Linked DNA regions of Neodiprion lecontei. The protein of the gene in region 1 interacts with the protein of each later gene in a biochemical or structural test. Links are inferred from orthologs where the notes say so. Each region holds a gene or a part of one and is shown on either strand. Other genes may lie near its edges. The genes, in order: ADP-ribosylation factor-like protein 2 and tubulin-specific chaperone D.

Region 1 (3,725 bases):
ATTCTGGCACGGAAGGAGAGACCGATGAGTTTGAAGATGAAGAAGAATACGGAGACAGATAGGTATGGTGGTCTAATATCTGCATTAATTCGTAGAAAAATGAAAAATAACCAACAATATTTGATTATAGCCAATATCTAAGTCTCGGCACTAATTGACAACTGAAAAATCGAGACTGTTTATTTGTTGTGGTGAAACTAGACGGTGGAATCATGGTGCAGGGAGATCATATCCTCGGTATTTCGTGTAATATTTTCTTTGTCGCAAACTTTATGTTAGAATATCAGAGACCAGGGATTTGCATAAATTTCACTAGGTGGTGCCTAAGATGATCTCATTGTCATGTTGCCCATCGATAAGTTAATATTGGCGATTTACTCGGTAGAACAAGTTTTGATCCCAAAATCAATCCGCGGCCGTTTTCTGCTTTATATCTAGATTATAGCAACTGTAAAAGTGAATAGAAGCAAGATATTTATATCAATTAATATCCAGAAATACTGCAATTTTACTTTTATCAACTTTTATCAACTTTTGAATGCGGTGTTCTGGCTATTATAAGGAAACGAAAATTCGTCGTTGTAATATCAATTCCATTCAAGTAAAGTGAACGCACGTGTGTATATATGATAACGAGAAAGAATCTTTGCAGTAAAAAATTGTAAGTATTATTATTTAAATCGAATTAATACATGGAATAATTGGAATAGTGTAAGCATAATACAAAAGCTAGCAGTGTTATGCCTAGTCAGTCCATACTAAGACTAAGCCTATAAACGTAAAAATCGATCTTGCGTATATTGCGTACCTCTAATTTATACAGTTTTGTGGAGAGCTTGTAAAAAACGTACTTACAGATAATTATAACAGTGATGTTCAAACGAACAGCCCTCCAAAATTGATTGCAATCGTAAAATAATAAAAGGTCGAGCATGAAATGGCTGTATGTTTGGTAACAAAAAAAATCTTATAAACATATCATCCATTTTTGATAGATATACTTATTAAGCCATATCAGAGATCAATTAATGTATCGTAATAATATTACAAAGTACAAACGGAAAAATTTTGCAATTCCGTTATATTTTTCTTGTTCTCTTCGACTAATTGTTTCAGCCGGTGAATTTTTCAGCAGAATATATGAAAAAATTTGCTCACAATAAATACAGATATCTAAATGCTATGACCATAATGTGGTATTAATCAAGGTAGAATATCCGAGCTGCAATGTCATCGATTATCCAGTTTATTCCTTCAAGCAAATTTTCGGCCGTGACAGCTGAGCATTTGTAGATCTGCCAATGATGGGATTTTATAGACGACAAGTCGAGCACTTCGGCAATTTCAGGAGCTGAAAGAGCTCCTGGAAGATCCTGTTTGTTGGCGAATATCAGCAGACTGGCACCTTCCAGTCTCTCTTCTTGTAGAAGTTTCACCAGCTCAGCCTTGCAGTCTTCTAAGCGTCTCTTATCGGCGCTGTCGACAACCCATATCAAACCATCCGTGCATTCAAAATAATTACGCCAATAAGAACGGAGGGATTTTTGCCCTCCGACGTCCCATATATTCAGTTTGTAGCCTCGGTGCTCCAGTGTTTTGATATTGAATCCAAGTGTGGGAGAAATTGTGTCTATTGGTTCTCCGATTATTCTTTTCAGTATCGTAGTTTTCCCTGCATTGTCCAATCCCCTAGAAAACGGATATTCAGTATCAGACGTTGCAATAAATGTCGATGTCCTGAATATTGAGTTTTATGCAAACTTCTCGAGTCGTCTTATTTCCTAATACGGAAATTTGGAATGGAGTACAGGAGCATATAACCTCAAAAACGATCTACGTCGGACAACTTTAAAATACCTACAGCATCAGTATTCTAACTTCCTTTTCCTTCTGCTTTAACTTTTTGAGAACTGTTAACAGCCCCATGTTACCGATATTACTTTTCCGAGATAAAGCTGTGATTTAATGTGGTAATTTCAAACGTCAGCTGACACTGACAATTCAAATTTCGGCACGCGGTTGACGTTTGCTTTGCAGACAATGAGAGAACCGAGGGTCACGTTTTTCGCTTTCTTCGATTACTAGCGCCTTTCGAGACGAACTGGGTTTTCGGAACTAATTTCCAGTTGTAGGCGCATGTCGGCAACCGCTTTGCCTCCAGCTTCCCATTACAAAAAACTGTCGATAATGTAGAGAATATTTACTTTCGCGAAATGCCCATTGATGACTGAGAACACATTACACGCTCGGCCTTTTCTCAGTTTACAATTCTTAAACTTAGCCATCGTTTCAAAGCTAGTAGAGCATTGGATTGACGAAATCCGGTACTAGATTATTTTTTTCGCCTGTTGGGGACGCTAAGTAGGTGAAGTGCTAGTCAGTAATCTCACCAATTTCATAGTGTTTACTAGTGAAAGAGGACATTATTGAGTGTAACACTAGACTTTTATCTATGTCTAAAGCGCTAAATATAAAACGATAATTAATAATTTAATGTCAGAATGTCAGGTGACTGTGCCGCATTGCCAAATATTCACTTAGTGGCTATTCTTCAAACTGTCGGTAACTTACCATTCAATTTCTCTAAAACGCGGAGTTTCATAAGGCTGATGAAAACTCTAACACTTCAGTAAAATATTGTGGTGACTCACAGTCCGTGAACTGAGCAGTCAGTATTCAGTCTTATTACCCTTTGACGTAAGCCTTTTCATAATTTTTGAGTCAGCAATCGAATAGTTCTCCCCCAATAATTTTTTTTTATCTATGTCGTTTACACTATATCACACATGAAGATCCTTAAATCTTTCGTCCCTTATGATTGACTATAACTGAAAACGAACGCTCACGGTAGTTACAGATGCTGAGGATGATTAATGAGTCTGATTAATAATCAGATCAGTGACAAGCATCGAAATTCGCCTTTGGACTGGAGCATCTTAAACGGGTTGTCTGATCACCACCATAAGACGATGTCCGATCGGATCGTTTCCTTTTGCAATATGACGTCAACGTGATCTACTGAAATCAAGTCTGAAGGATTGCAAGAAGACTCGCACAGCTGCTGAAGTTGATTGAAAACTGCCCCCGCTATCAGGAGAATATCTGAGCACAGGAGGTGGCACTAAAATAGGAATTGATTGGTTCATTTGCTCGCGTTGTCGATGCTGTGTGTCTGCACGCGTGCCTGTTTACCTGAAAGAAAAATGCTTCGTCTGATCCTGGACCCATTTGAAATAACGCAAATCAATTATTGTTAGCCCAGAAATTCTTCTAATATTAGAAGAATATACAAGAACATTTCGTGGTTCAAAACAAGGAGCTGATGGCGATATCAAGTGTCTGTTACTCTATTGGACTCTGTGGAATTATCTTGTATAGCGCGTTCACGCCGTTGACTGAAGATCTATAAAGACTGTTGGCCTAGTGGGGCTTTCCGTTATTCCGTAACCGAAAATGTACGAGAGAAATTCACACTGAACTTTATGTTTCAAGCAGCGCTCTCTGCGTCGCGCAACTCAAGTCGGTAAGCGATCGGTACGTAAAGACGACAAGCACTAATGTTACCATCACTCGACGTGTGTACCCAGATGGATAATGCAGTGTTATATATTATTATCCCCCCAAAAAGCACTTTCGCCAAGTACGTAAATGTGGTCATTACCCACAAAATACCTTCTCTGATGAAAAATGTATGCATATTATTATAATCGGCTTATACAAAAATA
Region 2 (3,935 bases), on another chromosome or scaffold:
AACTTACATATCCACATACTACGCTCATGGAAAAAATAAATGATGAACATAAATTACAATGCGATTTACCTCTCGATCGAAAACGGCTACAATAAGCAGAGTAGCAGCAATCTGATTTACATAAGGTAATAGTACTCTAGATTCAAATGCTCTTGCGAACGACCAACAAACATAGCATGCTGCATCTCTGATTATCGATCCTACAGAACCGTAAGCTCGAGGTTCATCAAATACCAATGCTTGAAGAACCAAAGGAATAACATCTCCTAATCTATGAGGTAATAGTAATCCTCTTCGCCCTGCCAGACACAATGAGTAGTAAGAGTCATACCTTGCATAGAAAAATCACTGTCATGTCCACCATAATTAAGCTAATATCCGAATGATTTACAATGTACAGAATACTGAAAGACAGTTTAACTCAATTTATCATGCTGCTTTTACCTAATTCAGCTAATGCTAGACAACCACCATGCCAGGCCGTATCTGATTCACGTCCAGAAAACAAATTCAGTACAAATCCAACCACTTCATCAGCTAGATCAATTGGCAAGCGAGCTGTTACTCGCCCGATCCCTTTGGCTGCAGACCATCTGATAAGTTATTTAAATGCGCAATTGTAATGAGTAGTACTACCCATAAGATATGCTTATGTAGGTATAAAGCCCATGAATTTAAAGCAGACTTGACATTTGTTCTAAAGACATCCTGTGCATGAAAATTTACCTGATGGTAATACTTTTGTCGCGAAGACCTTGTATCAGCTGCTCAATAATTTCTTCTGTTGCTGGAGGAATATCATGGTCTTCAGTCTCTTGGGAGGATATTTCATTTGTGTCCCCTACACTCATGGCTGTTAGATTCTTTTTATTCTCAGGTAGCAAGCTTATTGTCTTGCTTGCTCTCTGATACCTCCAATCAGCTACTTTAGCTCGTAGGAGAACAAATCCTGATTTCGAATATTACGAAGAAGAGATAAGATTATTGAATGCAATTTGAATACGAAGCTGTATTATTTATGTTCATTTACTTACCAATGCGCTGTATTACTTTCAGAGCAAATTTTCTAACGAGAGCGTCTGGATTATCGCTCAAATTCATTTTCATAATTTTATCTAATAGCATTTGACTATATGGCTTCAGATCTTCTCGAGCACAATGTTTCAATATTGAGGAAAGTATTGCCAAAGCACCGTGAGTTGTAGAATTAACTTCCAAACACTGATAAAAATGTTATCGTTAGCAAAACAACAAATTCGAAACAAGTTTTGTATCAAAATTGAAATTGATAATACATACGAATATAGATCAATTAAACCTTAAACTTTTCAATAGTCACCTGGCAGCACCATGTGATAATTTCTTCAAGATACAATTTCTTAACATCTGAACGATTCAGAAAATTCGCAATCAAAAATACTGCCGCCACTGAACAAACATCTTTTGATAGGCAATACAGTTTGCATAACTTCAATATCCTGAAAAGTACTTAATAACTTTGATGTTCGACAGATTTTACTCGATGTAAAATATGTTTTATTAATCAGTTATGTTGATTATTGCAGAGACACGACACAACTGAAAACTTTATCATTTTTAATATGGAACTCTGTAATACCTATTTGTTATCATATCCTCAGGTTTGATATCATTCGATGTTTCCAATCGAGATAAAGGAAAAGGTATTTTAGAAATAATAGATAGCCAAACAAGAAGTACATAACGTGTTTCCCAAGTAAGCGAATCATTTGGGTCTTGCTTTTCCAACATACGCAGAACCGGCACAAGATCCATTACCTAAGTCAAATGTAAGTTGTATTACATCAGAGAACCGAATTCAACAAGTTTAACAAGTGTCGAGGTAACTAGCATAATAATAAAATAAATATTTTGCGAAAATTGTGATATACCAAAGCTTACCTCGTGAGGAAGATGAGAGGCAATTTTCTTATATGTTTTGACAGACATGATGATGAATATGTATTTGAAGACATTGTGTTTTACACCATCAGAAATATTGTCGTCTCTAACGATGGTCAACATCGAACCTAGGATATCGTCCAGGTATGGATCCAGCAAATGCGGTTGATCTTGGTATTGAGACAAAATAAAGGTAAAACGCTCATGATTTCTTTCAATCTGTGCCGGAGTTAAATCCGAATCTCGCAACTTTCCAACCAGTCCTGTGACTTCGTCTATTTCTTTGATCATGTTATATCCACAGCCCATGCTTTCAGGATCAGGTCCATCGTTGAGGACCATTTTGTTTATATGGCTACTATCGTAGAAGGAATGGCCTGTTGAATGAGTAGATAACAATATGATATTCCTTTTCAATCGTGTAATGTTGTAAGCTCCATTTACGGTGAATAATCCAATGTCGTTTACTACAAAGCCGTTTGTTCAAGCAGATAGGATATTTTGACAGTTGACAGATAGCAAAGTGTTCTAAAACATGAAAAACCGTACTCATCATGACAAGTTAGTCGCGACTGGTCCGAATGATATTCGAGGCTACCATCTAACTATATAGTGGTCTAACCTCATCTGCGCAACGCTTGGATCGTCCATAGACCATGTATTTGCGCACGTATTAAAATTTACGTTTATACAATCACCTGAATTTACTCCTACTTACATCGTAAGAAAAAGATTTCAAGTAATAAAGGAGAAAACTAATCTTAATGCTGAAAATGGATCTTAAAAGTACATCAACGAACAATAAATTTGATTTATTTGTGAGGTATCATTCTCCATTGTTAAACATTGTTCTAGACGCAGATAAATTTTTAATATTTTTGTAAATTACTGTTGATAAATTAGCCAACGAAATTTGGCGAAGGCAAAATTTTCTCTAGGTGTAATCACAGTCAGCTGAGCTAAGTATACAAGACCTTGAAATCGCTATGAGCGAACAGATTTCAGATAAAGCTAGAAAATATTACATCACCAAAAATTTTTATAAAAACTAATATCAAAGTTGGCGAATAGCAGAACTTCTCTAATTAAATAAAATTGAATTGACCATTATATTGTGAAGCCTAGTGCTATTATTTGTGTCAAAGTTAAATATTATCAGTATCCCATTGCGATCTAGTCCAGTTAGATTTGGTATGTGAAAACAATCCAGTTAATCTCTAGTAATCCCATGAAAAAATATGTCCAAGTTGCGATCCTCAGAAGGAAGGGCACACTGAGTGCTTGATCTGAAATATAGAAATATATCAGTAACAATTAACAACACAGGTGGTTTTGGATTCCCAAAAAATTACAACTGAATTACCCATTATGCCAGTTTCTCCTTGATCAGTACGAATCTTCCCACCAACTCGGCTTGCAGTCCTATATCATCATTACACTGCAATGGTAAAGGTTCCCCTTCCGTTTTTTCTCAGGAAGTAACGGCATAGACCTTCTTCCAGTGAGTAGATCCAGACAAGTGGTACAATAATAAATCCAGCAATCTACGCCGCAACCTTCTCAGGATATTACAAGATGGACCAGTTTTTGCTGGCGACATAATCATGATCTCCCAAAAAATGCGCCACTTGGTTCGAGTGATTTTTAGGCAAACATTCTTTCTTTTCAGGCAAGTCTGAGTGCCCACACTAAGTATTCAAATAAAATGTTATTTTCAAACCCACATATCACATCTTATTTTTTAACAGCCTCAAATACTGTGCAGCGACTTACCAATCGAATCGCTGCAGAATCTCTTGTCACGATCCTGTTTTTCAAAAACTTAACAACAGTCTTAAGGTCTGTTACTCGCTTCTCTAGTCTTCTATTGCGCTGTTGCAGCACCTTCATGTTCCTTCTCATTTTTTTAATATAATTGTTGAGAGCGATCCAGTTTTTGGAATCCTGCTTCACATTATTGGAATTCAATTGTTTAAAGTCTCCAGGGTAAACTAGGCGAGGCTGTTTTGGAATTG

What was found.
Region 2: the proteins of ADP-ribosylation factor-like protein 2 (region 1) and tubulin-specific chaperone D form a complex in vitro, tested with the Homo sapiens proteins (2 studies listed by BioGRID and IntAct). The link is inferred for Neodiprion lecontei from reciprocal best matches to the Homo sapiens genes ARL2 and TBCD.

The regions. Positions count from the first base shown.
Region 1 is NC_060261.1:42,485,186-42,488,910, forward strand, and holds ADP-ribosylation factor-like protein 2, read right to left. Parts: upstream 2,055-3,725; 5' UTR 1,927-2,054; coding exon 1,862-1,926; intron 1,690-1,861; coding exon 1,200-1,689; 3' UTR 636-1,199; downstream 1-635. Other genes in the region: uncharacterized protein LOC124293034, read left to right, coding at 1-62. UniProt on the Homo sapiens protein: Small GTP-binding protein which cycles between an inactive GDP-bound and an active GTP-bound form, and the rate of cycling is regulated by guanine nucleotide exchange factors (GEF) and GTPase-activating proteins (GAP).
Region 2 is NC_060260.1:5,329,395-5,333,329, reverse strand, and holds the start of tubulin-specific chaperone D, read right to left. Parts: upstream 2,468-3,935; 5' UTR 2,263-2,467; coding exon 1,921-2,262; intron 1,798-1,920; coding exon 1,619-1,797; intron 1,479-1,618; coding exon 1,340-1,478; intron 1,222-1,339; coding exon 1,035-1,221; intron 950-1,034; coding exon 727-949; intron 594-726; coding exon 445-593; intron 300-444; coding exon 70-299; intron 1-69. Other genes in the region: uncharacterized protein LOC107223765, read right to left, coding at 3,489-3,608, 3,694-3,935.